Linked DNA regions of Anolis sagrei. The protein of the gene in region 2 binds, or shares a complex with, the protein of the main gene of each other region. Links are inferred from orthologs where the notes say so. Each region holds a gene or a part of one and is shown on either strand. Other genes may lie near its edges.

The links. The genes of interacting proteins can lie anywhere in the genome.
Region 1: PHF10 (region 2) and SMARCB1 share a complex: the UniProt entries of both Homo sapiens proteins name them as parts of the neural progenitors-specific chromatin remodeling complex. The link is inferred for Anolis sagrei from reciprocal best matches to the Homo sapiens genes PHF10 and SMARCB1.
Region 3: PHF10 (region 2) and SMARCE1 share a complex: the UniProt entries of both Homo sapiens proteins name them as parts of the neural progenitors-specific chromatin remodeling complex. The link is inferred for Anolis sagrei from reciprocal best matches to the Homo sapiens genes PHF10 and SMARCE1.

What each region holds. Positions count from the first base shown.
Region 1 is NC_090026.1:663,191-672,952, reverse strand, and holds the start of SMARCB1 (SWI/SNF-related matrix-associated actin-dependent regulator of chromatin subfamily B member 1), read right to left. Parts: upstream 4,770-9,762; 5' UTR 4,728-4,769; coding exon 4,638-4,727; intron 2,108-4,637; coding exon 1,996-2,107; intron 1,467-1,995; coding exon 1,437-1,466; intron 1-1,436.
Region 2 is NC_090025.1:190,182,154-190,192,908, reverse strand, and holds the start of PHF10 (PHD finger protein 10), read right to left. Parts: upstream 5,005-10,755; 5' UTR 4,921-5,004; coding exon 4,852-4,920; intron 805-4,851; coding exon 698-804; intron 106-697; coding exon 1-105. Other genes in the region: DCP1B (mRNA-decapping enzyme 1B), read right to left, coding at 9,377-9,457. UniProt on the Homo sapiens protein: Involved in transcription activity regulation by chromatin remodeling. Belongs to the neural progenitors-specific chromatin remodeling complex (npBAF complex) and is required for the proliferation of neural progenitors.
Region 3 is NC_090026.1:39,302,371-39,313,024, reverse strand, and holds the start of SMARCE1 (SWI/SNF-related matrix-associated actin-dependent regulator of chromatin subfamily E member 1), read right to left. Parts: upstream 4,770-10,654; 5' UTR 4,645-4,769; intron 1-4,644. UniProt on the Homo sapiens protein: Involved in transcriptional activation and repression of select genes by chromatin remodeling (alteration of DNA-nucleosome topology).

The DNA of each region.
Region 1 (9,762 bases), on a different chromosome or scaffold from region 2:
TGGGTGATATCTGCCTAGGAAGGGATATCTCGGAGCCTTCATAGAGAGACCCCCAGCTGAGCATCATGAGCCAAGAATGTGGTGCTGCAGCGAAAAAGGCCAATCCGATTCTAGGCTTCATCAATATGAGTTCTGAGGTAAGTATTGGGGTTCAGCCTGATCTGTGTGAATCTGAGCCCCAGCCTCAATCTCTATGTGAACCTGATTCTCTTATTGTATTTCCAACTGAACATGTATCTCTCCCTGACAGTGTGGAAACTGTTGTTGATGTTGAGGTCAGTGGCGAGGAAAGTGAAACTGAACAGCCGGAGGAAAATGTTTTGGAATCCAGCCGTGACAGCCCTCCACCTGGGTTTTTTAATGAGGACCGAAGGGAACAGATAGCGAGAGACAGGAGTGATTCACAGTTTCTACGAAGGTCAAATAGATTACAGGAGAGACAGGCCCAGGCTTCAAAGTCAAGGGGCGTTTCAAGGAATAGTTTCTTTGGTTTAAGGGGCCTCCTTCCGGGTGTCTTGTTAGATCAAGCAACGTTTTGGACTGTGGCTGTGCCTTGGCAGAATTCCTGTGTTCCATGGCCGGTAATCCCAGAGGCTTCTAGTTTTCAAGTACCTGGTTAGCGAGAGGCTAACAGGTTCCTGGTTCTTGTATTGTGGTTTTTGGAATTTTGCTCAAGTTCAGAGATTGTCCTGACTGCTGTTTCTATTGTGGCTTTTTGACTTTGCATTTACCTTTCTTTTGTAACCAATTTTTCATCAATAAAAAAGGATTGTTTCTCCTACAGTCCAGTGTGGTGGATTTAATTTTATGGTCTCGTTTCCTGATCTGGGGTGCAACAGTAAGTAATATAGGATATGAGTGAATGAGACATGGCTTCGCAACCTGTGGGACCTAGGAATCGTAACAGACAATAAAGTAAACATGAGCTAAATGTGGCGCTGCAGCAAAAAAGGCCAATGTGATTGTCCGCTGAATATTATGGGATAGGATATGAATGGGTTTATTGAGCTTATTATGGGATAGGGACAGGCAATATCTGTCTATGAAATATCTAGGCGTCTCAATAGAAGCAAAACACACCAATGCAATTCTGGGCTGAATACAGAGGGAATCATCACAGGGAATTGATGGGCGATATCTGTTTACGAAAGGGGCCGAGGAGTCCTCACAGATGAGAATCTGAACATGATAGTATTAAAAGTGGGATGCAACAGCAAGATAAGCCAATGTGATTCTGGGCTGCATCCACCCATTTGAGACTAGTGTGTAACACACTGAGGGAAGTCACCGTCCCTCCGACTCCTTCCGTCTCTGGAGGTTTTTAAGCAGAGGCTGGATGGCCATCTGTCGAAAGGGATCGGATTGTTCCTTTCTGTGTGGGGTTGGGCTGGATGGCCTTTAGAGATCCCTCCCAACTCTGGGACTCAATGACTTACATCTGCGTGGGCTGTGGCTCCGCTGGGACTCTGCAAAGAGAGAGAAAGAGAGAGATGAGGAGGATGTGCATTTAATTATTATTTATTTCGGACATTTGTATCCCGTCCTATTTTGACCTCCGCAGAGGGACTCAGGGCGGCTCACAACCGGCACGCCATGGTGCCCACAACCAAAAGCATAAATATACAATTTAAACAAAAACAATATAAAAACATTCAAACAGTCACCAATTTAAGTCATCGTCCTAAAAGCAGTCCGTCAAGTCCACTAAAGCCGTCGCTTTGGCAGCAGGTCAGCCTAGTCTGCAAAGGCCTGATCCCATAGCCAGGATTCCACTTGTTTCCGAAAGCTCAGGAGGGATGGAGCAGATCCACAGCTGAGGGGTCACCACAGAAAAGGCCTGTCCCTTGTCCCCATCCCCAAAACGCGACTGCGATGATTTAAATGTCAGCCTTTCTAATATTATGGACATTCCATGCTTTGTATATAATAACATTATGGGGCAGGGTAAGCCCATCCAATCCCTCCCAGCAGAGGCCCAGACGACTCCATCCTCACCATGGGAGGAGGCCACGATCTTCTTCCGCTCCTCGACGGTGGCCAGGCGCCTCCAGAGGGACGGGTAGCGCTTGTAGAGGGAGCCCCGGAACATGCGCAGGTAGTTCCCCACCTGCATTGGTGGATTGGGGAAGGCGGAGGAGAAAGAAGGGAAGGAGAGGAAGTGGGTGGGAGAAGGAGAAGGGCGGAAAAAGGTCTCTATGCCCTACACCATCTCCCTCTTCCCTTCTAAAAGGGGCATTCAATAATGATAACACCAGTATTAAAAAACTCTAAAATTACAACAGAACAACAACAGAGAAAAAACAAACAAGGACATCTAATTACCTCTTAACAAAAGTTTGCTCTAGGCACTGTCAGGCCATAAAATGCTAATCAAGGTGGTCAGTTGAAACATTCACACCTAGCTCCAGCAGACAAGAGTCCTTTGTCCCTCCCTGGTCATCATTCCACAGAGATATAAACCCTTTTTCCTACTTCCAACAGAACTCACTACCTCTGAGGATGCTTGCCATAGATGCAGGAGTAACGTCAGGAGAGAATGCCTCTAAACCATGGCCATATAGCCCAAAAAAACCTACAACAAACCAATATCAATATTGTTCTATGATAAATGGTAATAATATATGATATAACAGTACTAATATTAATAATATATGATAGAGTTGGAAGAGACAATAATAGTAATAGCTAATAGTCATAGGTAAAGTAGGTAAAGTCGTGTCCAACTCTGGGGGGTGGTGCTCATCTCCATGTCTAAGCTGAAGAGCTGGCATTGCCTGTAGACACCTCCAAGGTCATGTGGCCGGCATGGAGCACCGTTACCTTCCCACCAGAGCAGTTCCTATTGATCGACTCACACCTGCATATTTTCAAACTGCCAGGTTGGCAGAAGCTGGGGCTAACAGCGGGAGATCACCCCGCTCCCCAGATTTGAACCTGTGATTTTTTGGTCAACAAGTTCAGCAGCTCAGTGGATAATAATAATAATAATAATAATAGAACAGTGTTAATATACATGATAGAGTTAGAGAGACAATAATAATAATAGACCAATATTTATAATAATAATAATAATAATAATAATAATAATAATAGAACAATATTAATATAAATACTATGTCCTCTAAAGCACCTTATACTGATTTAGGATTGGGTTGTTGTAGGTTTTTTCGGGCTATATGGCCATGGTCTAGAGGCATTCTCTCCTGACATTTCTGATTTAGGATTGTTTGAATGTTCCCTCCAACGCCCCATCTCCCTATCTTGTTCATGCCCAGCATTATTTTAAATTTTAATTACATTTGGCCCAGCCATAGATTTTAAATGTGTGTTGTGCTATTGTCAATGTTTATGCTATTTGTGTTTGAGATTTATTTTAATTGCTTTGTATTGTTGTTGTTATTGCTTGTATTGATGTATTGTGGGCTCAGCCTTATGTAAGCCGCACTGAGTCCCTTGGGGAGAGGGTAGCGGGGTACAAATAAAGCTTTATTTATTTATTTATTACTGGTCTATTATTATTATTGTCTCTTCCATCTCTATCATGTATTGTTGATATTAATATTGTTCTATCGTGATTAATATTAATAATACCGGGATTGTGGCGCAGCTGGCTGAGTGTCAGCTGCATTAAGATCATTCTGGCCAAAAGGTCATGAGTTCGAAGCCAGCCCGGGTTGGAGTGGGCTTCCAAGCAATTGTGTGTAGCCTGTTGTCGACCTTTGCAGCCCAAAGGACAGTTGCATCTGTCAAGTAGGAAAATTAGGTACCACCTTAAAGTGTGGGGAGGCTAAATTAACTGATTTATGAGGCCATAAAGAAGACTCCAGCAAAGCATTCCAGCGGGGAAGCATGCGGGGAATGCGGAAGTGCTTCATCAGCATCGCAGATGGACGAGGAAAGCAGCCAGAAAAAGTTAAATAGCCTCTGTGTATGTCTGTATATGTTTGTATGTAAAAAATTGGCACTGAATGTTTGCCATATATGTGTACACTGTAATCCGCCCTGAGTACCCTGTGGAGTGAGGAGAAGGGCGGAACATAAAAGCTGTAAGTAAATAAATAAATAAATAAATAAAACATGATAGAACAATATTAATAATCTGAATGCAAGGGAATTCCAGACATGAAACGATCAGCACCAGTGAACACCTCCCAACAAAGGATTCCCCCAGGCAGGAATCAGCCAGGCCTTGAAGCTGCAAGGCTGTGCAATGCTAATCAAGGTGATTAATTACAACATTCACATTTGCCTCCCACAGAAAAAAGCAACCCAATATTATTAATACATGATAGAGTTGGAAGAGACTTAATAATAATAATAATAATAATAGAACAATATTAATATTGTTCCTATTATTATTATTATTATTAAGTCTCTTCCAACTCTATCATGTATTGTTAATATTAATCATGGTAGAAGAATATTAATAATACAGGATAGAGTGGTTAAAAGATACCACATAATAATAATAATAATAATAATAACAACAACAACAACAACAACAAGATGGGGAAGAAGAAGCGACCACAAGGCCCAATCCACCCTTCTCCTTCTCCTGAATGAAAGGAAGGCAGGCCAGGCCTCCTCCCTCCCTTTCCCTTCCTTCCTTCCCTTCTTCCCCTTCTCCCCGGCTTCACCTCGGATCCGATCATGTAGAACTCGCCATCTTCTTCCAGCTGGAACTTGACGGGCTTCTGCCCGAAGGTCTTGCTCAGCGCCATCATCATCCTACGCCTCACAAGAACAGGAGGAGCAGGAGACGGACTGCGCCTGCGCCGAGAAGGGGGCGTGCCTGCCCTGCGTCATCACGGGCGCGCCTCTTCCGGCACTTCCCATTGGCCACTTTATCCCCGCTTCCTTTTCGCGCCTTTAACGGGGCGTGGCTTGTTGCTAGGGGCGACAGTCTAGCGTCGAGCGCGGTGACGCAGCCCTGAAGGACCCCAGAGAAGGAGAGAAGGGCTGTCTTCCCCACTGCCTGACTAAAGCGAGGAACTCTTCGAAACCGTGGTGGGGGCGTGGCTTGTTGCTAGGGGCAACGGTCTAGCATCCCGTATGGGAAAACCTGAAGGACCCCTGAGGAGAGAAGGGCTGTCCTCCCCACTGCCTGACTAAAGTTCTCTCCCTCACTGCCTGACTAAAGCGAGGAACTCTTCGGAACCGTGCTGGGGGCGTGGCTTGTTGCTAGGGGCGACGGTCTAGCGTCGTGCGCGGTGACGCAGCCCTGAAGGACCCCTGAGGAGAGAAGGGCTGTCCTCCCCACTGCCTGACTAAAGTTGTCTCCCTCACTAGGTTCTTGTGGGTTTTTTCGGGCTATAGGGCCATGTTCTAGAGGCATTCTCTCCTGACGTTTCGCCTGCATCTATGGAAAGCATCCTCAGAGGTTGTGAGGTCTGTTGGAAGTAGGAAAAAATGGGTTTATATATCTGTGGAATGACCAAGGTGGGACAAAGGACTCTTGTCTGCTGGAGCTAGGTGAGAATTGGTTGTTTTCGGGCTCTATGGCCATGGTCTAGAGGCATTCTCTCCTGACGTTTCACCTGCATCTATGGCAAGCATCCTTAGAGGTTGTGAGGTCTGTTGGAACTAGGGAAATTGGGTTTATATATCTGTGGAATGATGTCCAGGGTGGGGCAAAGAGCTCTTGTGTGCTGGAGCTAGGTGTGAATGTTTCAAAAAGCCCACCATATGGTTCAGATATGTGGATGACACCTTCACCCTTTGGAGCCATGGAGAAGAAGAACTCAACAGGTTCCTGGACCATCTGAACAGCATCCACCCAAACATATGGTTCAGAGATGTGGATGACACCTTCACTATTTGGGGCCATGGAGGAGAAGAACTCAACAGGTTCCTGGAGCATCTGAACAGCATCCACCCAAACATCCAGTTTACCATAGAAAAAGAAAATGAAGGAAGACTGCCTTCTCTAGATGTCCTCGTCATCCGCAAACCAGATCAACAATTGGGTCACACCGTCTACAGAAAACCCACACACACAGATAGATATCTACATAAAAACTCCAACCATCACCCAAGTCAAAAAAGAAGCCCCATCAAAGCCTTGGCAGACCATGCAAAAGGAATCTGCGAAGCCCACCTCCTCCAAGATGAACTGAACCACCTCAACTGGGCTCTCCAGGCCAAGGGAGACTCCACCTCAGGCATCAGAAGAGCTGCAAGACCAAGAACAAGCCACGAGAGTAAAGAGGAAGATCCACCCAGAGGAAAAGTGTTCCTGCCAGACATCAAGGGAACCACTGACCGAAGAAGGAAGCTGATGAGGAAACACAACATACAAACCATCTCCAGACCCACCAAGAAAATCCAACCAATGCTCCCTTCAGCAAAGGACAAGAGGGACCCTCTCACCTCTCAGGAGTCTACCATTGTATCCCATGCAGCTGTGGACAAGTCTACATAGGGACCACCAAATGCAGCATTGCCCAGACACGAATCCAGGAACATGAAAGGCACTGCAGACTACTTCAACCAGAGAAGTCAGCCATAGCAGAGCACCTGATGAACCAGCCTGGACACAGCATATTATTTGAAAACACAGAAATGCTGGACCACACCAACAGCCACCATGTCAGGCTACACAGAGAAGCCATTGACACCCACAAGACGCATGTGGACAATTTCAACAGAAAGGAGGAAACCATGAAAATGAACACAATCTGGCTACCAGTATTAAAAAAACTCAAAAATTACAACAGCAAAACAACAGAGAGGAAACAAACAAGAACATCTAATCACCTCTCAACAAAAGATTTTCCCAGGCTCAGCCAGGCCTTCAAATGCTAATCAAATTGGTCAGTTGAAACATTCACACCTAGTTCTTGTGGGTTTTTTCGCGCTGTATGGCCATGTTCTAGAGGCATTTCTCCTGACGTTTCGCCTGCATCTATGGCAAGCATCCTCAGAGGTCGTGAGGTCTGTTGGAATTAGGACAATGGGTTTATATATCTGTGGAATGGCTGGGGTGGGGCAAGGAGCTCTTCCCTGCTGCAATTAGGTGTGAATGTTTAGCTAATCACCTTCATTAGCATTTGAAGGCCTGCCTGAACCTGGGAAAGTCTGTTGCTGGGAGGTGTTAATCTGTGCCTGGTTTCTTCCTCTCTGGAAGAAGAGGAAGAAACCAGGCACAGATTCACACCTAGCTCCAGCAGACAAGAGTCCTTTGTCCCACCCTGGTCATTCCACAGATATATAAACCCCTTTTTCCTAGTTCCAACAGACCTCACAACCTCTGAGGATGCTTGCCATAGATGCAGGCGAAACGTCAGGAGAGAATGCTGCTAGAACATGGCCATATAGCCCGAAAAAAACCCCACAAGAACCTAAAGCAAGGAACTCTTCGGAACTGTAGCGGGGGCGTGGCGTGTTGCTAGGGGCGACGGCCTAGCGTCGCGTATGGGAAACCCTGAAGGACCCCAGAGGAGGAGAGGAGGGCTGTCTTCCTCACTGCCTGACTTCCCGCGTTTTAAAGCAAGGAACTCTTCCAAACTGAAGTCAAAAAAGGAGATATTATTTACATTATCAATGGCATTGGGTTTTTTTTAAAAAGTGTTTGAATTAATAAGTAAATCATGACGAGGAATAAAACAGTGTGTGTGTGTGTGTATACACCAGGCCTGGGCCCACTTGGGCCTTCCCTCCAGGTGTTTTGGACTTCAACTCCCACAATTCCTGGCCTCAGGCCCCTCCCACTTCCAGGTGTTTTGGAATCGTATTGTCAAAGGCTAACAGGGCCGGAATCACTGGCCTGCTGTAAGTTTTCAAGTCCGTCTGGCCATGTTCCAGAAGCACTCTCTCCTGACGTTTCGCCTGCATCTATGGCAAGCATCCTCAGAGGTAGAGAGGTACGTTGGAAGTAGGAAAATGGGTTTATAGATCTGTGGAATAACCAGGTGGGGCAAAGGACTCTTGTCTGCTGGAGCTAGGTGTGGATGGGTTATATGGGGGCTATATGGCCATGTTCCAGAAGCATTCTCTCCTGACGTTTCACCTGCACCTATGGCAAGCATCCTCAGAGGTAGAGAGGTATGTTGGAACTAGGAAAAAGGGTTTACATATCTGTGGAATGACCAGGGTGGGACAAAGGACTCTTGTCTGCTGGAGGTAGGTGGGAATGTTTCAACTTTTTTTTGGTCGTGTCAGGAGTGACTTGAGAAACTGCAAGTCGCTTCTGGTGTGAGATAATTGACCGTATGCAAGGACGTTGGGACGTTGCCCAGGGGACACTGCTTGGATGTTTTGATGTTTTTATCATCCTTGTGGGAGGCTTCTCTCATGTCCCCTTTGCATGAGGAGCTGGAGCTGATAGAGGGAGCTCATCCGCCTCTCCCCGGATTCGAACCTGCAACCTGTGCGGTCTTCAGTCCTGCCGGCACAGAAGGGGTTTAACCCACTGCACCACCGGGGGCTCCATAATGTTTCAACTGACCGCCTTGATTAGCATCTGATGGCCTGGCAGTGCCTGGGGCAAACTTTTGTTGAGAGGTGATTAGATGTCCTTGTTTGTTTCCTCTCTGCTGTTTTGCTGTTATAATTTTAGAGTTTTTTTTAGTACTGGTAGCCAGATTGTGTTCATGTTCATGGTTTCCTCCTTTCTGTTGGAATTGTCCACATGCTTCTTGTGGATTTCAGAGGCTTCTCCATGTAGCCTGACATGGTGGTTGTGAGAGTGGTCCAGCACTTCTGTGTTCTCAAATAATATGCTGTGTCCAGGTTGGTTCCGGAGTGTGGTGGAGGCTCCACTGGCCATCTGTCGGGGGTGCTTTGAATGCATTTTTCCTGGTTCTTGGCAGAATAGGATTGGATTGGACTGGATGGCCCAGGAGGTTTCTTCCAACTCTAGGATTCTATGATTCTGTAAATTCTGTAGACGGTGTGACCCAATTGTTGATCTGGTTTGCAGTTGACTAGGACATCTAGGAAAGGCAGTCTTCCTTCATTTTCTTTTTCCATGGTGAATTGGATGTTTGGGTGGATGCTGTTGAGATGGTCCAGGAACCTGTTGAGTTCTTCTTCTCCATGGCTCCAAATGGTGAAGGTGTCATCCACATATCTGAACCATATGTTTGGGTGGATGCTGTTGAGATGGTCCAGGTTACCTGTTGAGTTCTTCTTCTCCATGGCTCCAAAGGGTGAAGGTGTCATCCACATATCTGAACCATATGTTTGGGTGGATGCTGTTCAGATGGTCCAGGAACCTGTTGAGTTCTTCTTCTCCATGGCTCCAAAGGGTGAAGGTGTCATCCACATCTCTGAACCATATGTTTGGGTGGATGCTGTTGAGATGGTCCAGGAACCTGTTGAGTTCTTCTTCTCCATGGCTCCAAAGGGTGAAGGTGTCATCCACATCTCTGAACCATATGTTTGGGTGGATGCTGTTGAGATGGTCCAGGAACCTGTTGAGTTCTTCTTCTCCGTGGCTCCAAAGGGTGAAGGTGTCATCCACATATCTGAACCATATGTTTGGGTGGATGCTGTTGAGATGGTCCAGGAACCTGTTGAGTTCTTCTTCTCCATGGCTCCAAATGGTGAAAGTGTCATCCACATATCTGAACCATATGTTTGGGTGGATGCTGTTGAGATGGTCCAGGAACCTGTTGAGTTCTTCTTCTCCATGGCTCCAAAGGGTGAAGGTGTCATCCACATATCTGAACCATATGTTTGGGTGGATGCTGTTGAGATGGTCCAGGTTACCTGTTGAGTTCTTCTTCTCCATGGCTCCAAAGGGTGAAGGTGTCATCCACA
Region 2 (10,755 bases):
ACACCCAAGTATTCACTGACTTGCTCTTGAAGCATGTAGTATTCTCCCGTTTCATCAGGCGGCCATTTGTATTCTATCAGATTTTCCGCTGGAAAGTAGCTAAAGCTTAAACACAGAAAGATCAAGCCTGGAACAACTCCACAACATGGCATGCTATCCAACATGCAAGGTCTTCTGCATTTATATTGTTTTATATTCATGTGGTAATCTACAATATTCAGATTAACAATGTACCAATGTCCTGAATAGTCAAATAAATAATGTTGTCCATTTTTAGAAAGGTAACCTCGTGTACTGTACTTTAACTATTCGATGCCCCAACATCCCATTTTCCGGATCTTTCTGTTGTTTTATTAAGCCAAATTTCAGCTTTCTAGCTTAAGCTAGGACACCTTAACTACTCTGGAATATACTTCCAACTCTCTATTTTCAAGGAGAAAAGCACCAAAGTCCTATTTATAGATTTTTGCAGTGACATGTATTACTACATATACATCAAATTTCAGATATCTAGTTCATGCAGAAATAGTCTAAGAATACTAGGACTGTGTAAATAATTAAATAAATCCAGTGAAGCTCAAAGATTTATAAATTTTACAATTATGTTTGTATTAATGTAATTCAGGTATTTGTTGGGAAATAACATATACTAAACTAAAACATTCTGGTGAAAATATTTTTCAAAACTGAGTAATACCTAAGATCTTGGCTTGAAGTTTCACAACTTCGTGAACTGTCCCCTGAGCCCATTCGCCGTCTTTTAGATGGTTGGCTGCCATCGTTTGAATTGTCTTCAGTATCATCCTGAACCAAAAGCACAAATATTACAATGCTGTAAAGTCATAATACAGTAATCACATATCTATTAAGCTTTAAGGTAAGGTTACATTAAAACCCTAAACCAACAAATCTTAATCTAATCCCCAGGTTTGTTAAGACTTTTTATCCAAACTCTATACCAATGTATTTATTTATCGCATTTGTATACCGCCTTTCTCAGCCAGAGGCGAATCAAGGCGATTCACAGTCGGCAGCGATTAGATGCCATAACAAATATCAAAAATGCAATTAAAACAATTATAAACAATTCAACATTTAAAATGTAATATAAAAAGCAAATATATCTGTAAAAACTAGATCCTCGGCGTCTCCTTACAAAAATCGTTGTCCAGTTGCATCGTCAGTAATTCCATATGTTCGTTTACATCTAATTTTGCTCCAGCAGAAAACGTTTGCTCGAAGAGCCAGGTCTTAACTATTTTGCAGAATGTTAGAAGGGAGGGAGCCGAACTGTTATCCCTGGGGAGGGTGTTCCATAGCTGAGGGGCCACCACTGAGAAGGCCCTGTCTCTTGTCTCCGCCAAACGTATCTGTAGGAAAGCGGGATCAAGAGCAGGGCCTCCGCAGACTATCTTAAAGTCCTAGATGATTCATAAGGAGAGATACGTTCGGATAGATAAGCTGTTCAGTTACGTTATTTAATATCCACCTTTCTCCCAAGATGAGATCCAAGGTGACTTACACCTTGGAATGTTAAATTGCCTCTGTGTCTGTCTGTGCTGGAATGTTAAATTGCCTCTGTGTCTGTCTATTTATGTTGTGTGCCTATGGCATTGAATGTTTGCCATGTATATAGTACATTGTAATCCGCCCTGAGTCCCCTGCGGGGTGAGAAGGGCGGAATAGAAATACTGTAAATAAAATAAATAGGGCTTGTTCTCCAGACCCTTGATCATTTTATCATATCTCCTCTCAGCCTTCCTCTTCTTCAGGCTAAATGTAAGCCGCACCGAGTCCCTTGGGGAGATGGTAGCGGGGTATAAATAAAAGTTTTTTAAAATTACTATTATTATTATTATTACATATTTATTTATTTATTTATGAGGGACTCAGACCGGTTTCCAACCATAATATCACATACAATCAATAAAACATCATAATACATATTACAGTAAAACATTAAAACAGCAATTACAATCAATAACTATAATGGTCAGTCGTCACACTAAAATCGTTGCTCATCATCCTCCATCCATATCTCAGGGTGTTGGCTCACCCAGCTCCTTAAGCCGCTCCTCATAGGGCTTATTCTCCAGACCCTTGATCATTTTAGTCGCCGTCCTCTGGACATATTCCAGCTTGTCAACATCTCCCTTCAATTGTAGTGCCCAGAATTGGACACAATATTCCAGGTGTGGTCTAACCAAGGCAGAATAGAGCATGGGTAGCATTACTTCCCTCGATCTAGACACTATGCTCCTATTGATGTAGACCAAAATCCCATTGGCTTTTTTTGCCACCACATCACATTGTTGGCTCATGTTTAACTTAGAATCATAGAATCAAAGAGTTGGAAGAGACCTCATGGGCCATTCAGTCCAACCCCATTCTGCCAAGAAGCAGGAATATTGCATTCAAAGCACCCCTGACAGATGGCCATCCAGCCTCTGTTTAAAAGCTTCCAAAGAAGGACTATCCACCACACTCTGGGGTAGAGAGTTCCACTGCTGAATGGCTCTCACAGTCAGGAAGTTCTTCCTCGTGTTCAGATGGAATCTTCTCTCTTGTAGTTTGAAGCCATTGTTCCGCGTCCTAGTCTCCAGGGAAGCAGAAAACAAGCTTGCTCCCTCCTCCCTTTGGCTTCCTCTCACATATTTATGCATGGCTATCATATCTCCTCTCAGCCTTCTCTTCTTCAGGCTAAATGTAAGCCGCAATGAGTCCCTTGGGGAGATGGTAGCGGGGTATAAATAAAAGTTTTTTAAATTATTATTATTATTATTAAATATTTATTTATTTAAAAGTTTTTTATACCGGCCTTCTTACCTCTCTTGAGGGACTCAGACCGGTTTCCAACCATAATATCACATACAATCAATAAAACATCATAATACATATTACAGTAAAATATTAAAACAGCAATTACACTCAATAACTATAATGGTCAGTCATCACACTAAAATTGTTGCTCATCATCCTCCATCCATATCTCAGGGTGTTGGCTCACCCAGCTCCTTAAGCCGCTCCTCATAGGGATTGTTCTCCAAATCCTTGATCATTTTAGTCACCCTCCTCTGGACACATTCCAGCTTGTCAATATCTCTGTTGAATTGTGGTGCCCAGAATGGGACACAATATTCCAGGTGTGGTCTAACCAAAGCAGAATAGAGCATGGGGAGCATGACTTCCCTAGATCTAGACACTAGGCTCCTATTGATGCAGGCCAAAATCCCACTGGCTTTTTTTGCCGCCACATCACATTGTTGGCTCATGTTTAACTTGTTGTCCAAGAGGACGCCCAAGATTTTTTTCACATGTACTGCTCTCGAGCCAGGCATTGTCCCCCATTCTGTATCTTTGCATTTCGTTTTTCCTGCCAAAGTGAAGTATCTTGCATTTGTCACTGTTGAACTTCATTTTGTTAGTTTTGGCCCATCTCTCTAATCTGTCAAGATCGTTTTGAATCCTGCTCCTGTCCTCTGGAGTATTGGCTATCCCTCCCAATTTGGTGTCGTCTGCAAACTTGATGATCCTGCCTTCTAACCCTTCATCTAAGTAATTAATAAAGATGTTGAACAGGACCGGGCCCAGGACAGAACCCTGCGGCACGCTGCTCGTCACTTCTTTCCAAGTTGAAGAGGAAGCATTGGTGAGCACCCTCTGGGTTCGTCCATTTAACAATCAACAACCAAAAATCAACAAAACATCATAATCAGACAACATCATGAAAACAACATCATGGCTCAACAGCAAATGATGATTTCAAGCTTTAGCATGGAGAGCATGACTTCCCTAGATCTAGACACTTTGCTCCTACTGATGCAGGCCAAAATCCCACTGGCTTTTTTTGCCGCCACATGACATTGTTGGCTCATAGAATCATAGAATCAAAGAGTTGGAAGAGACCTCATGGGCCATCCAGTCCAACCCCATTCTGCCAAGAAGCAGGAATATTGCATTCAAATCACCCCTGACAGATGGCCATCCAGCCTCTGCTTAAAAGCTTCCAAAGAAGGAGCCTCCCCCACACTCCGGGACAGAGAGTTCCACTGCTGAACGGCTAGTTTGAAGCCATTGTTCCATTGCGTCCTAGTCTCCAGGGAAGCAGAAAACAAGCTTGCTCCCTCCTCCCTGTGGCTTCCTCTCACATATTTATAAATGGCTATCATATCTCCTCTCAGCCTTCTCTTCTTCAGGCTAAACATGCCCAGTTCCCTAAGCCGCTCCTCATAGGGCTTGTTCTCCAGACCCTTGATCATTTTAGTCGCCCTCCTCTGGACACATTCCAGCTTGTCAATATCTCTCTTGAATTGTGGTGCCCAGAATTGGACACAATATTCCAGATGTGGTCTAACCAAAGCAGAATAGAGGGGTAGCACTACTTCCCTAGATCTAGACACTATGCTCCTATTGATGCAGGCCAAAATCCCATTGGCTTTTTTTGCCGCCACATCACATTGTTGGCTCATGTTTAACTTGTTGTCCACGAGGACTCCAAGATCTTTTTCACACGTACTGCTCTCGAGCCAGGCCTCATTGTCCCCCATTCTGTATTTTAGCATTTCATTTTTTTCTGCCAAAGTGTTTTGCCTTTGTCCCTGTTATAGTGTTGTTTGGGTTTTTTCTGCCTAAGTGGAGTATTTTGCATTTCTCCCTGTTGTAGGGTGTTGTTTTGTTATGGCCAACTCCTATATTAATTCTTAAAAATATCTAATGAGAATGGCCTGAGGAGAAAAAGCTTTTTCCCTGCCTTGGAGGGGATCCAAGATGGCGGCCGTAGCAGGCCTCACAGGATGCAAACGCCTCCCTCAGCGCTTCTCGGCGAGGCTTTGAGGGGAAAGCGGCTCTCACCTTGAGGGACTGGGTTCCAGGCGTGGCCGGGTCGCTGTCACATACCCGCGGGGACAGAACGGCCGCCATCACCGCCGACGGCCGCGGCGAGAAAGGTCCACCATCGGCCTCTTCTTCCTCCTCCTTTCTCCCTCACGCGACCCTACTTCCGCTTCCGGCTCTCAGAACGCCGTTGCATGACAGCGCCACCTGCGCCCTAGCAGTGGTATTGCAGCCGCATCCCAGAGCGCCTCCTTCTTCTACTGCACACCCATATGCGCATGCGCAAGGCATTGATTACACCTGTAGACTTAAGTTTTCACCCAGCAGGCCTTAGACCAGGGATCTTCAAACTTTTGAAACAGAGGGCCAGGTCACAGTCCCTCAAACTGTTGGAGGGCCAGATTATAATTGGAAAAAAACATGAAAAGAATGCAATAATTAAAATGAAGACAAGTCTACATTAGGCAATCCCTCGTTGGCCAAGTAGGATAGTCTTCCAGGATCAGTCCCTAGGTGACTGTGGAGCCCTATTCTTGATCTGCATCTTCTCCTGTAGTAAGGGCATTGGTTTCCAGGTGAAAGGCCGTCTCAGTCAGGGTTGGCTTGACGCACCTTCCTCTTGGCACGTTTCTCTCTTTCACCCTCCATTCATGCCTCTTCAAATTCTGCAGCACTGCTGGTCACAGCTGACCTCCAGCTTGAGCACTCAAGGGCCAGGGCTTCCCAGTTTTCAGTGTCTATGCCAGAGTTTTTAAGGTTGGCCAGATAGGCCCTATATCCTGGGATATAGGACCTATCTGGAAGAGCCCTCTTAGATAGTGTTGTGTATGCCTGCTTGCAGCATAGGATTCAACTTCCTACTCTAGATTTCTTTCAGGATGGCTGGGTTTCTTTCAGGCACATCTTAACACCTCTCAACAAAAGATTCCCCCAGGCACTGCCAGGCCATCAAATGCTAATCAACGTGGTCAGTTGAAACATTCACACCTAGCTCCAGCAGGCAAGAGTTCTTTGTCCCACCCTGGTCATTCCACAGAAATATAAACCTTTTTTCCTAGTTCCAACAGACCTCACTACCTCTGAGGATTCTTACTATAGATGCAGGCAAAACGTCAGGAGAAATGTCTCTAGAACATGGCCGTATAGCCCGAAAAAACCTACAACAACCCAGTGATTCCGGCCATGAAAGCCTTCGACAATACGTTTATATTTGTTTAAATTGTTCTTCATTTTGTTAGGTTCTTGTGGGTTTTTTCGGGCTATATGGCCATGTTCTAGAGGCATTCTCTCCTGACGTTTCGCCTGCATCTATGGGAAGCATCCTCAGAGGTAGTGAGGTCTGTTGGAACTAGGAAAAAGAGTTTATATATCTGTGGAATGACCAGGGTGGGAGAAAGGACTCTTGCCTGCAGGAGCTAGGTGTGAATGTTTCAACTGACCACCTTGATTAGCAGGTGGACAATTTCAACAGAAAGGAGGAAACCATTGAAATGAACAAAATCTGGCTACCAGTATTAAAAAAAAAAACTCTAAAATTAGAACAGCACAACAACAGAGAGGAAACAAACAAGGACATCTAATCACCTCTCAACAAAAGATTGCTCCAGGCACTGCCAGGCAATCAAATGCTAATCAAGGTGGTCAGTTGAAACATTCACACTTAGCTCCAGCAGACAAGAGTCCTTTGTCCTATCCTGGTAATTCCACAGATATATAAACCAATTTTCCGAGTTCCAACAGACCTCACTACCTCTGAGGATGCTTGCCATAGATGCAGGCGAAATGTCAGGAGAAATGCCTCTAGAACATGGCCATATAGCCCGAAAAAACCTACAACAACCCAAATATAAACTTATTAGCATATGAATGGGAAGTGTGGGCCTGCTTTTGGCTGATGAGATAGGATTGTTGTTTTGTGCTTTCAAGTCATTTCAGACTTATGTTGACACTGAGCGAGGGCCGGGTAAATGACCTTGGGGGGCCACATCCGGCCCCTGGTTGTTAGTTTGAGGATCCCTGCCTTAGACAGAACACTAATATTTAGGAAATGCTATGCAAACACCAAGCACAAAGTAGCTGCCCGCAATAACATCCTTGTAAGCTACCCTGAGTTTGCCAGGCTGTCTGGCAAAGTTCCAGAAGCATTCTCTCCTGACATTTCACACACATCTATGGCAGGCATCCTCACATGTTGAGGGGTCTTCTGGAAACTAGGCAGGTGAGTTTTATATATCTTTGGAATGTCCAGGGTGGGAAAAAGAACTCTCGTCTGTTTGGGGAAAGTGTGAATGTTGCAATTGGCCACCTTGATTAGCATTTAATGGCCTTGCAGCTTCAAAGCCTGAGTGATTGCTGCCTGGGGAGTCCTTTGTTGGGAGGTGTAACCTGGCCATGATTGTATCTTCTCTCGAATTCCCCTGATTTTTGAGTGTTGCTCTTTATTTAGTGTCCTGATTTTAGAATTTTTAAAAATACTAGTAGCTAGATTTTGTTCATTTTCATGGTTTCCTCCTTTCTGTTGAAATTGTCCACATGCTTATGGATTTCAGTGGATTCTCTGTGTTGTCTGACATGGTGGTTGTGAGAGTGGTCCAACATTTCTGTGCTTTCAAATAATAGGCTGTGTCCAGGTTGGTTCATCGGGTGCTCTCCTATGGCTGGCTTTTCTGGTTGAATTAGTCTGCAGCGCCTTTCATGTTCCTTGATTCGTGTTTGGGCAAAGCTGCGTTTGGTGGTCCCTCTGTAGACTTGTCCACAGCTGCATGGTACATTATTTACCATGGTATTTATGCAGTGCTTTTACATGAAATAAATAAATAAACCCAGCCAGCCTGAAAGAAATTTAGAGTAGGAAGTCGAATTCCATGCTGCAAGCAGGCATACACAACACTATCTAAGGGCTCTTCCAGATAGGCCCTATATCCCAGGATATAGGGCCTATCTGGCCAAGCTTAAAAACTCTGGCATAGACACTGAAAACTGGGAAGTCCTGGCCCTTGAGTGCTCCAGCTGGAGGTCAGCTGTGACCAGCAGTGCTGCAGAATTTGAAGAGGCACGAATGGAGGGTGAAAGAGAGAAACATGCCAAGAGGAAGGCGCGTCAAGTCAATCCCGACAGAGACCGCCTTCCACCTGGAAACCAATGCCCTCACTGCGGGAGAAGATGCAGATCAAGAATAGGGCTCCACAGTCACCTACGGACCCACCAGAATACTGATCCTGGAAGATTATCCTACTCTGCCAACGAGGGATCGCCTAAGTATATCCCAGGATCTGATCCCAGGTTAGGATTTGTGGGAGTTGAAGTCCAATTTGGAGGGCCAAAGTTTTCCCATGCCTGCGGTAAGCCGAGAGCTGATGTAATAACATGCATCCAAACAGGAATCTGTGTATTCCTATTTTTATTTTATTTTTCTTAAAAATGAGTAATTGAAACCATTGTCCAGCGGGTCATGGAAGACTGTGAAAATTAAAATATTCGTCCTTTTTGCTATTTTTAACAAAACGTCTTAAAATGATGGAGCTATTTCCTAGAGAAGTATTGCAGCCCTGCGCTGGCTTAGATCGGCATCTAAGAGGCCAAACAGCTGGAAACAGAAGCCTGTCTTCGAAAAGCTAGAATTTCACCATCTGTTGCTTTGCTATGAATAGTCTGGTCGCTTAATAGAAAAATATTTGCTTAGAAAAGGAGGGATATTTTTTTAATTTAAAAAAAAGAAAAAATGTTTTTTTTCATCAAAGGTTATTTGGGAATGAGTTGCAATACACATTTTGAAGAGTACTTGGTTTTAATGGGGATTTAGTGTGCTCAATATTCGGCAAACTTCAGCCCTCCGGGTGTTTTGGACTTCAACTCCCACAATTCCTAACAGCCGATAGGCTGTTAGGAATTGTGGGAGTTGAAGTCCAAAACACCCGGAGGGCCGAAGTTTGCCCATGCCTGTTCTACCCTGTTGTCATCTTCAATCAACCTTGTTTGTAGCTTTCGAAATAGTTTCAATAAGCTATGAAAAAGAATGTCAACAAGTGGGTAAACTCTTTGGGAGGAATGTGGCTTTTTTGTGACAATGAAGCTGTAAATAGTGATTGCTTTTTTCAGCCCAAGCTTTCTTTTCTTTTTTATGAACAAGTCTTAAGCTGCCTTCTGTTGCTCAGCAACAAGTACCACTCTTTGCAGATATTACTGCATTATACAAGAGAATAACTATGTACAAGGGAGGAAAAAATCCTGGCAAAGTACCCACAGAACATGTATTTGAAAGGAAACCCACCCAAAGGATCGGCACAGTAATGACAAAATATCAAAATGTATGCCATCTGACATAGAGTCCAAGTAAGAAAAAAAACAGCACAAGGTATTTCAAATTTGTGGCCAAGTCCCAGCTCCAAAAAGGCACTATCAGTTTCCGTCCATTAAAATCGTCACCTGCTTGTCAATAAGCGTCATTTAAAGGTTTGCAAGATGCCAATGTCTTTCATTGTTTTAAAAATTCAAGAGGAGGATAGACTTTGGATTAAAATATATATATATATATATATATGCTTCACAGAGTCTTTTTCGAGTCTTCTCTTCTTGACTTGGCAACGTAAGCGTCGTAGATGATGTTTAGGAAATTATCGTCATTCTGGGGAGGGAAAAACATATCATTTGTTAATGCAAAAAAAAGAGGAATAATAATAATAATAATAATAATAATAATAATAATAATAATCGTTTATTTATTTATTTACTATATTTATATAGTAAATGCGTGACTTAGGGCCTTTTATTCTAGCACTTAAGACCTGGCTTTTTACTAGAGCATTTGACTCATGTTAATTTATTAATATTTGTATGTAATGTGTTTTATCCTGTATAATTTCTGCTATGTAAATCGCCTAGAGCATCTCGGATGGAGGACGATTAATAAGTAATTAAAGATGATGATGATGATATATAGTCGCCCCTCTCAGGCAACTCAGGGTGGTTAACAAAGGCAAAAATTTAATGCCCACAACAGCATAAAACATTTAAAAACATTAACATGTAATATAATATCTTAGCAAAATCAATTAAAACTAAATCATAAGTATCTCTTAATTAAAACATCATCCAATAATAATAATAATAATAATAATAATAATAATAATAAATGATTCTGGAAAAGAAAAATTGGATTATTGATGTTGCCATACCAGGTGACAGCCAAATTGACGAAAAACAACAGGAAAAACTTAGGTGTTATCAGGCCCTCGAACTGCAAAGGCTCTGGCATAAACCAGTACGGATGGTCCTAGTGGTCCACCTGTACTTTTGAATTTTTTGAAAATATATCACATAGTCGTAAACGCTTGGAAAGTGTTTGACTTGTGATTTTGTGATACGAAATCCAGCATATATATCTTGTTTACTGTGTCATACTGTGTTTTTGTGTCAGAATGATGATGATGATGATGATGACGACGACGATGACGACTTTGGCACAAGCTAGTCAAGATGGTCCCAGTGGTAATTGGCACACTGGGTGCAGTGCCTAAAGACCTTGGCCTGCACTTAAAAACAATTGGCTCTGACAAAATTACCATCTGTCCGCTGCAAAAGGCTACCCTACTGGGATCTGCACGCATTATTTACCGATACATCTCATAGTCCTAGATGCTCGGGAAGTGTCCAATGTGTGATCGAATGCAAAAGCCAGCATAGTGAATACAATTGCTGTGTACTAATCTTGTTATGCATCAAATAATAATAATGATGATATTAATAATTACAAGGGACTCGGGGCAGCTTACAGAAGCATGTGATAGTGCAGTAAAATACACAAGATAAAATAAAACCAATAACAATGACAATTTACATAAAACAACGTTCATCAAAACAGCATATAAAACCCCTACTGAATTAAATAAGATGTTCAATAATGTAAAACCAAGTATTAATCCC
Region 3 (10,654 bases), on a different chromosome or scaffold from region 2:
CAATATCTGCTTTGAACTGAGTTATCTGAATCCACACTGCCATATATTCCAGTTCAATGCAGAAAATGTGAGATTTTATTCAGCTGTGTGGAAGCGGCTCTAGAGATTCCTAGAGAGGAGTTCTCTCTAGAAATCTGCAGAGAAAGTTGGAGAAATCTGCAGAGAAATAATTGGAGAAAGTCGCCTGCAGAGTCAAACTGGAGGACCTAGAGATTCCTAGAGAGAACATTTAAATAAAAATCTATAAGAATTAAAATCATTGGTTTGAAGGGAGAACACTATTACAAAACTATACGATAAAAAGGAAGTGCTGCTATTACCTTATATGCTACACACATTTCAATGGCACAAAAGAATACAAAACAAAGGATAAACTTCACACTTTTATGTGCAGAGTTGAAGTTTAATAGATGTCTGTATTTAACATGCTGTTTTTATTTTGCACTTCCTAAGACATGAAAACCCTGCTTGCCTCTCCTCCATTAATCTACACAATGTAACTGTTTAGGATTTAAACCAGGGATGGGGGATATTTAATCCTTCTCCCAGATGTTAGACTTCAACTTACATCATTTATTCTGTTTTGTATTGGGCAATGTATGTGTGTTTGTATCTTCAAGTCACTTGTTTACTTACAGTGATGCCATTAATTTCATAGGGTTTTCTTAAAGCAAAGGATTCTCAGAATGATGTCAGTTCCTTCCACTGAAATATAGACTAGAGCACCTGCTATTTGTTGTAAGTCCCCCATCAAAGTACTAACCAGTGGTGACCATGCTTAGCTTCCAAGATCAGATGGGATCTGGTCCCTTTAAAGTACTTAGGCTATTTGGTATGCCTCAATTACAGGAAAAAGAAAATAATTACATATAATTCATTCATTAGACTGTACTATTTCCAAGATATGAGCAGAAAAAAACCACCACAGTAACCAAAATAGGAGAATGTGGATGTTTTTACTGTTTCAGTTTTATGCCATTATATAATTTTGTTGATTTTATTTATTTATTTAGTATAAAAAGCATTGCATAAATTAGTATGATAAAACTGATAAAAATAGAAGCACAAGCTGCTAAATATCTTTTGACCAAAAATAGGCAACAGTGATCACATTGTCTATAGCAGGGGTCCTCAAACTTTTTAAACCGGGGGCCAGTTTACTGTCCCTCAGACCGATGGAGGGCCGGACTATAGTTGTTGTTTTTTTAAAAAAATCAATTAAAAAATTCCTCTGCACATTGCACATATCTTATTTTGCTGTGTGGAAGGGCCCTTAGAGGGGGTTCTTTCTAGCCCTCTTTAGGCAGTAATTCCAGGAGCAGAGAATGGGAAATCTTCCTATTTCTAGTCTGACCAAAAATCTGGCTACCAGTATTTAAAAAACTCTAAAATTATAACTGTAAATAAAGAACAACACTCAAACACAGGGGAACTCCAGACAAGAAACAATCAGGGCCAGCTAATCATCTCTCAACAAAGGATTCTCCCTAAAAACTGTCAGGCTATGAAATGGCAATCAAGGTGGCCAATTGAAACATTCATACCTACCTCCAACAGACAAGAGTTCTTTCTCCCACCCACAATTTTCCTGGTTAAAGGTTTTCCTCTGACATGAAGTCCAGTCGTGTCTGACTCTGTGGTGCTCATCTACATTTCTAAGTCGAAGAGCCGGCGTTGTCCATAGACACCTCCAAGGTCATGTGGCCAGCATGACTGCATGTAGCGCCAGGGCAGCCTCCCTTGGCTGGCTCACGCTGTCTATCAGGCCTGACGGATAGCGTGAGCCTGCCAAGGGAGGAGCAGGCCCGCGCGGCCTACTTGTGAGTAGACCACGCAGAGCAGCCTCCCTTGGCTGGCTCATGTGGCCTACTTGTGAGTAAAGCGCCTCGCGAGGTGCTTTACTCGCGGGTAGACCACGCGGAGCAACCTCCCTTGGCTGGCTCATGTGGCCTACTTGTGAGTAAAGCGCCTCGCAAGGTGCTTTACTTGCGAGTAGACCACGCGGAGCAGCCTCCCTTGGCTGGCTCACACTGTCCATCAGGCCTGATAGATAGCGTGAGCCTGCCAACGGAGGGGCACTGTGTGTGTGTGTGTGTGGGGGGGGGGGCGCTCCTCCTCTGCGGGCCGGATCGGGGCCCTTGGCGGGCCGGAAGTGGCCCGTGGGCCGTAGTTTGGGGACCCCTGGTCTATAGCCTCAAACAAATCTTTTTCTGTACATGAGGCAGGACATTGCAGGCAAGCATACAGATGCGGAGTTGTCTGTTCTGCTCCGTAGCCACACAAGGTGGAGGATTCTTTTAGGTAGTGCCATTTTGTCAGGTTGTTTTGTGATCTGTCCACTCCACTTCTGAGTTTGTTCGGGGACCTCCAAGTTTCCCATTCTTAGTTTGCCCCTAGAGACAGATCCTCGTGGGGGGGGGGGGCATCCAATTGGATTAGCTGCTTAGAACGATACTCTTGCTGTTTCTGGGAAAACGTTAAGATGAGTGGTGGTTCACATGACGCTTTTCCTTGATTAGTCTACTGGGAGGAGGCTGATAACCATGCAGTGGATGGCTTTCAGTGTTCAACCTTATTTCTCTCAGTTAGTAGCAACTTCCTGTGACACATGGGGGGGGGGGGGGAATGCCAGCTAGCTTGTAGAGTTTATCAACAGGTGTAGGTTTAAGACATTATGTGATCACTCTGTATGTTTTGTTCATCACTATGTTCACTTGCTTCACGTGGGCAGAGTTGTGTAAGCCGCATCGAGTCCTTCGGGAGATGCTAGCGGGGTACAAATAGTTTAATAATAATAATAATAAAACAGGGCAGGCATACTTGGCAGCTGAGTAAGACAAGGCCAGGGCAGATGTTCTTATTAATTTTGGGTCTGCACCCCATGTGCTGCCAGTTAAGTTTCTGCAGGATGTTATTGCATGCAGCTACTTTGTGTTTGGTGTTCCTGCAGTGTTTCCTATATGTTAGCGTTCAATCTAAGATGACACAAAGATATTTAGGATGGAAACAATGTTCAACCTCTTGACCTTCCCAGGTAACTTACAATTTCCTGCTGGCTTCATGGTTCTGTAAGTGGAAAGCACACACGTATGTCTTGGAAAGGTTAGGCTACTTTGTTGATTATGTTGTGTTTAATTTATTGATGTTAGGTTCTAATGTCTTCATATGTGGTGTTAATTTGGGTTATTTGCTGGCACTTATTTGTTTTAATGTAATGCAATATAATACTACTAATAATATGGTATTATAATTATATATTTATGTTACATGTAATATTACTAATAATATTACAATATAATGGTATAATACAATATAGTAATATTTAATACTGTTATTGTACTATGCTATTAATACAGTATATTGTGTGTGTATATATATATATCTCTTGTAAGCCATTCTGAGTCCCCTTTGGGGTGAGAAGGGCGGCATATAAATGTTGTAAATACAATAAATAAATTATTGAGGCATTGAATGTTTTCCTTTTTGTATGTTGGTATCTGCCCTGAGTCCCCCAGGGAGATAGGGTGGAATATAAATAAGGGTTTATATTATTATTATTAGTAGTAGTAGTAGTAGTATTACTGGAGCCCCCGGTGGCACAGTGGGTTAAAGTGCTGAGCTGCTGAGTTTGTTGACCGAAAGGTCGCAGGTTCTATTCTGGGGAGTGGCATGAGCTTCCTCTGTCAGCCCTAGCTTCTGCCAACCTAGCAGCTGGAAAACATGCAAATGTGAGCAGATCAATAGGTAGCAGGTTCGAATCTGGGGAGTGGTGTGAGCTCCTGTTGTTAGCCCCAGCTTCTGCCAACCTAGCAGTTCAAAAACATGCAAATGTGAGTTGATCAGTAGGTACTGCTCCAGCAGGAAAGGGACAGTGCTCCATGCAGTTATGCTGGCCACATGACCTTGGAGGTGTCTATGGACAACGCAGGCTCTTCGGCTTAGAAATGGAGATGAGCACCAACCCCCAGAGTCAGACATGACTGGACTTAATGCCAGGGGACAACCTTTACCTTTTAGTAGTATTACTGTGGTGGTTCTTTCCTGTTCATATCTGGGAAATAATACAATCTAATAAGTGAGTACTTATAATTCTTTTCTTTTGTATTACTAAGTGTTGGTTTTAAGAGTGTGTCCATTTATATATGCAAGTTGCCTGTCGACTTATGACAACATTATGAATTTCATAGGCGTTTGTTAGGCAAGGAATACTCAGAAATTCCTCCCCTTTTGTAATGTTTTTCTTTTGTTCTTTTGGAAACAAAATAAAACTTACTTATACAAAAAAAGAAGTAATATTAAATCATTAAATCATTATAATAATTAGGAATTGAGAAAATAAATAATATAATTCAAGAAATTAAAAAAAACAGAAGGTATTTCGACCAGTGTATTGTATGATCAGTGTAGACTCATACAACGCACTTTAACTGCATTATGATAATACTGCAGTATATTTCAAGTCGGCCTCAGCGTTAATTATAATCGACAACGATGAAGAAAAACCTTCCTCTCAGAAACAGGCCTCCCTTCACACCGGCCTGGAAAGGCCTCTGGCTTTGGCGTGGCCGAGGAAGGAGGATTTCTGGGGTCCCGCACCCCAATATGCCTCCTCAGCCAAGCCCCAGCCACGTCCTTCAGACTCACCCGCGTCCCACTCGGACTCGAGGCCTCTCTCTCGCTTCTTTTGTCTCGACACGAACCAAGAAAGGCGGGGATGGAGAAGGAAGGCGGCGGCGAGGCGGCCTCTATTTCACTATTTCCGTTCCTGCTTCAGCACTTTCCACACAGACCTCCCTTTCGCTAGGTAAGAAAAAAAGGTAAAAACCTAACAAGAAAATCCTCTCGAATTCCACTTTAAACAGTACACATATACTTTCCTCCTCTTGAGTTTCAAGACGTCCTCTCTTCCGAAGGTTGCCGTGGCAACGACGTGAAAGTGCTGCTTTGAATTCCAAGCTAAGGGAAAAGTGGAGGAGGGAGGAGGAGAGAGCGTGCTGGATGACGTGATGACGTCATCGATCGGCATTGCGTGAGGAGCGTGATGAATCCATACAACCTGAGCAACTTTGGGATGGTGGCTTAAGTATTTGAGTTGTTGCTGCTGCAACCAATTGCCTTTTAAAACAATGTTCCAAGCTGGGGTTTGACGGCCTTTCTTGAGACAGGCCCCTTCCACACAGCTGGATGAAATCCCACATTTGCTTTGAATTGGGATATAAGGCAGTGTGGACTAAGGGCCCTTCCACATAGCACTGTATCCCAGAATATTATTTATTTATTTATTTATTTATTTCAGATACTTGCACCCCACCCTTCTCACATAAACAGTTAACACACCAATTAAAATTCTGGTCTGGCTCAATTAATTGTCACTTCGAATTTGCTTATGTCTTCTTCATACATGCCACTATTCAATGGCCAAATGCAAGGTCCCACAGCCAAGTCTTGAGTTTCCTTCTAAAGGACAAGAGGGAGATGGCTAATCTGATGTCTTTGGGGAGGGAATTCCACAGACAGGGAGCCACTGTTGAGAAGGCCCTGTCATCTCCACTAATCACGTTTGCAGTGGCAATGGGATCAAGAGCAGGGCCTTTCCAGATGATCTTAAACTTGGTTGTTGCAGGTTTTTTTGGGCTATATGGCCATATAGCCCGAAAAAACCTACAACTATCCAGTGATTCCGGCCATGAAAGCCTTCGATCTTAAACTTCGTGATGATTCGTAGTAGGAGATACGTTCGGACATGTAGTCTAGGCCAGAGCTGTTTAAAGGTTAAAACCAGCACTTTGGATTGAGCTTGGTAGCAGATCGGCAAGCAGTGGAGCTGGCGTAACAGAGGAGTTGGTTGCTCCCTGTATGCCGCTCCGGTGAGCAACCTGGCTGCTGACTGTTGGATTAATTAAAGCTTCCAGGCAGTATTCAAAGGCAGCCCCACATAGAGCGCATTGCAGTAGTCTAATCACATTGCAGTCATTAATATCAAGGCAGAAAATCCCACATCTGAGTTCAAAGCAGATATTATGGGATTTTCTGCCTTGATATTCTGAGATATAGGGCTGTGTGGAAAGACCCTCAGATCACCCAGTTCAAAACATATTGTGGGGTTATTCAGCCTTGATATTCTGGGTTATATGGCTGTGTGGAAGGTCCCTCAGACTCCGCCTTTATTTTTCCTAATGCTACAGGTCTCAGACCTCCTTCAACTTGGCACTTTATCACATTGAGACATCTCCCAGTCACAGGACACTTCAGCCTCTATTCAAACATGGATAGGCACTGAGCTCATCACATGAGTTAAATTATTTCTGGAAGTCATGCATAACCCTCTTTGATTGAAGAGAGGCAGAAGTATCCTGAAAGGAGGGAACTCCAGCAATCGACCTCATCACATTGCAAATTTTTCACCTCCTAGCTCATCACATGTTCCCAAGTTGAAAAGAGGCTGAAATGTGCTTTAAATAACTCAAAACGACAGCAACAAATACTGCAACCTCCTATTACATTTGCGTTATTTGCTCCCAATTTATCCTTGGGCTCTAGTAGCTCTCTGTTGGTTTGCTTAATGCTTTTGTTTCATAACTAAGTCTGGGCCAGAGAGAACCTGAGCAAGATATAGGCCAGTTTTGCCTTGGGCAGCAGGTAACATTGAACAGCCAGTTTGGGAATAGTGAGGCAGGGGAAGAGGAGAGGAGGATCCTACCCCCTGAAATTGCTTTGCTGTCAGCACAAAAGCAGAAGGGACATATTGTACCATGGCAGATGATTATAACATTGTGGGATCGGGAGATATTGGTTAGGTTTACCCAACAATAGCTAGTGACAGCAGAATCATCGGGGTGGGGAGGCAAATCAGTCGTGGAATTACACATGGCAGGTTTGCCTGCCTCATGTGATAAAGTCATAAATGTATTTGGAGCTTTGCATTGACCTTCCCCCATTTTTAAGGCCCTCTGAACATTAGGATCATATGCATCAAGAACATTTCTTTTCATGATCCTTCTGAATGAGAGGATGGACACCCAGTATCCCTGACAGATGCGCATCCAGCCTCTGCTTAAAAACCTCCAGAGAAGAAGACTTCACCATGTTCCGAGGCAGCATGTTACACTGTCCAATAGTTCTTACTATCAGGAAGTTTTCCTAATATAAGATGGAATCATTTTTCCTTGCAATTTTATCCATTGCTCCACCCCCATCTCCTACTCTCCAGAGCAGCAGAAAACAAGCTCATAGCCCCCCTTAATGTGAAGTTCTTTCGAATATTTAAACACGGCTGTCATGTCCCCTCTCATCTTCTTCTCTCCAAGCTAAACATACTCAGCTCCCTAAGTCGTTCCTCTACCCTTCTACATTGTAACTTGTCAAAATCCTTCTTGAATTGTGATGGCCAGAAACGGACACAGGATTCCAGTTGAAGTCTGACCAAAGCAGAATACAGTGGGACTATGGCTTCCATCAATTTCAACGTGATACTCCCAGTGATGCCTAGAAGAGCATTTGATTTTTGAGCTGCCTCATCACACTGTTGACTCATGTTCAGTTTATGTTTTACCAAGACTCCCAGATCCCTTTCACATGTCCTATTTTCAAGCTGGGTGCCACCCATCCTGTATCTGTGCATTTCATTTTTACTGCCTTCATTTAGTACTGTGCATTTCTCCTTGTTGAAATTCATTTTGTCAGTTTTGACCCACCTCTGTAATTTGTTAAGGGCATTTTGGATTCATTGGATGAAAGGAGAATTCAGTATGAAGCTGTCACTTCAGTACTCCTGATTTCAATATTGTAAAGTCTGTAAAGATATGTTTGGTTTTAAAATACTGTTTTTCAGCCAGAGGTATTTGGATGAGAAGTAGAATACTATTTAAAACAGGGGTGTCCATACTTTTTAAGATGAGGTTCCCTCAGCCTGTTGGGGGACCAGAGTATAGTTTGAAAAAAAAAAACACATTCCTTTGCACACTTATTTGTAGCGCAATAAAGAAAAAAGAAAAAGAAAAAAAACCTAGAACATATATGTCTTGCAGCGTCTCTCCTTCTCCTTTCTTTCAAATCATCCCCAAAAATATGTTCACCCCATTCTTCCATACCACCTGTGCTGGTACGGCTGTACAAAGAGCTCCAAACTCCCTTTAGTTCTTTGAACGTTTGCATGTGCTTGTTCTGGCCATGCATTTTGCAGTTGGATGGTTCCTGCTAGGCTGCAGTCATGGGGCTAGCCACCTGTCTATCATCGTTAAGTTTTAGTTCTGCCCTTTTTTCCAGGTTCAGGAGGGAAAGGGAACCATTTTAGTTCGGTCTTACAGTTGGAAGCTCAGCTACAGGACATGAAAGTTTTCTACCTGTAGAGAAGCTTCGTTTCTTACAAAGTCCGGGGGAAAAGAATCTCAAAAGCTCTGGCTGGGGAATTTACATCCTCACAGCTTTAAGAACAGTCTTTAAAGAAAGGCATTTAAGAGAAACAGCTTTACTGCACAACCCTTGTTGGTGTTGAAGAAACAGACCTACAACTTTTGTGGGAAAAATCCTAAGGACTCCAGCTGGAAATTCTTCAGAGCCTTGGCTGGTAGGTTTACTTGGGTACCCAAGAAGTAATTTGGAACCGGGAGTAGGGCCCACACCAGCAAAGCCTAGAAAGCTGATTGTCCAGGGAGGGGTCAAAAAGGGTTTTCCTCATAAAGGAAAGAAAATAATTCTCCAAGCAAGTTGCCTGTCCATTGTAGACAAGTTAAGAAGCATTTGTTTGATTTGTTGAAGATCTAAGATTGTTTGTTGAAGACCTAAGCAATAATAAAGAACTTTGTTAAACTTTTAAACTTCTAAAGACTTTGTATAGGAAAATCTATAGGGCCTCTCATCCAAGGCACCCCGGCTTCCTGCTGGGCACAAAGAGCACGTCCTGTTCAAAAGCCAATTGCTATAGGCCCAGCGCGTGACAGCACACTACCTGTATTTTGTCTTAAAATGTATTAGCACAGAACACTTTGAAGGCTGATTAAGAGAGACAAGACAAATCCTATCATGTTAGGATGTGACATCCCCCTTGGCCTGTTGATGGATTTTATTTTGTCTATTTATTTTAGATGGCCATAGTCAATTTCACTCTTGTGGCATGTCTGAATAAAGAGAAAAATCTAAAACCTACCTTGAGATTTGTACAGCTAAACAAAATATTTACTTTCAGTAAGGAATGTGCATACTCATTTCCTTTGAATGTTCACTATTTCTTCAGGGTTCATATTGTACTGAGTTAGAGAATAGCAAAGTGCTGATTTTTATCCTCTCTTTTTTTTTCTTTAAGTAGATTTTGAAAGTTAACGGCACTTTTTAGGGTGAAATTTATTACTTTGTGAGGTTTTTAAAAAGAGATAATGATAGTTGGCAGTCATCTGATGGATGGGATTGCACCTATGGCAAGTCTTGTGTAACATTTAAAGGGTGTATATGTTTTTGAGTTTTTTTGTTAGTATGTCTGCTGGTTGTGTAATCATGCTGTGTCTTAAGCACTTATTTATCAGAATAAACTATTAGTGAATGTTGGCAAAGCCAAATGTGGCAATAGAAACACTTATAATATTAAAAAGAGTTTTACCTAAGAGATTTCTACAACTCAGGGATTGTATCACCTTTGTTCCAATGATCATTCTAAGAAAAGTACATTATGCTTAAAAGGAACTCCAAGTAATCAAACAGAGATTAAAACAAAAGCTGTTTAAATGAAAACAAAGAATACTAAAGAGAAAATAATAGAAATGGAAAGTCTAGAAAGCCTTTCAGATTACATAGTTATAGTGTTATTATTCCACTGTAACTTCTTGGGCAACATTTTATGAAATCCTGGGATTTGCAATTAAGGTGGATCTGCACTGCCCTATATCTCAGATTATCTGCTTTGAACTGGATTATATGCATCTACACTGCCAGATAATTTGGGATAAGCAGATAATCTAGGTTCAGATCCTAGGATATAGAGCAATGTAGATCCAGCCTTAGATATGGGCATTTATGATTTTCAGCCAGTAATTATTGGTTTTCACTAAACTCAAAGGCAAGATTCCCCCCAGAAACTGGATATCTTGGTGCACACTTTTCCTAATCTATTCATGTTTGGAGATATCTTTTAAAAATACACATTGCACATGGATTAAAGTGTGTGCTTGCATTTTTCATCTATTCAGAAAATCATGCATATTTGTGAAAAATTCAGAGAAAAAGAAGAATTCGAGGCTTGTTGTTTGTTCTGAGTGTCAGTAATAGAAAGATATACTTATGTCTTATAATACATTCTTATAATACACGTTAGATACATTCATAACAAATCTAAATGAATTCTTATTTCATTTCTATCTCTATATGTTACTTTGTGTTCTGAACATCTGGAAAGAAGACTAATAAATGTGACTATGGCACATTTGCTGACATATGAATAAGAGTTCCTCCATTCCTGATTCTTTTTTGAGAAGATCCACAGGATGTAAATATTATATTTGTCAGACTTGGATTTATTTTCAGCATGACAGTGGCATCATTTACTTTGGTAAATTCATATTCCTATTTCTTAAAGGCAATTTAAAGTTTAATTTTAAATCCAAGTATTGTAAAAAGTACAAATGATGTCCCAACGAAAACAGAAAAGCTGCACAGAGAAATAAGA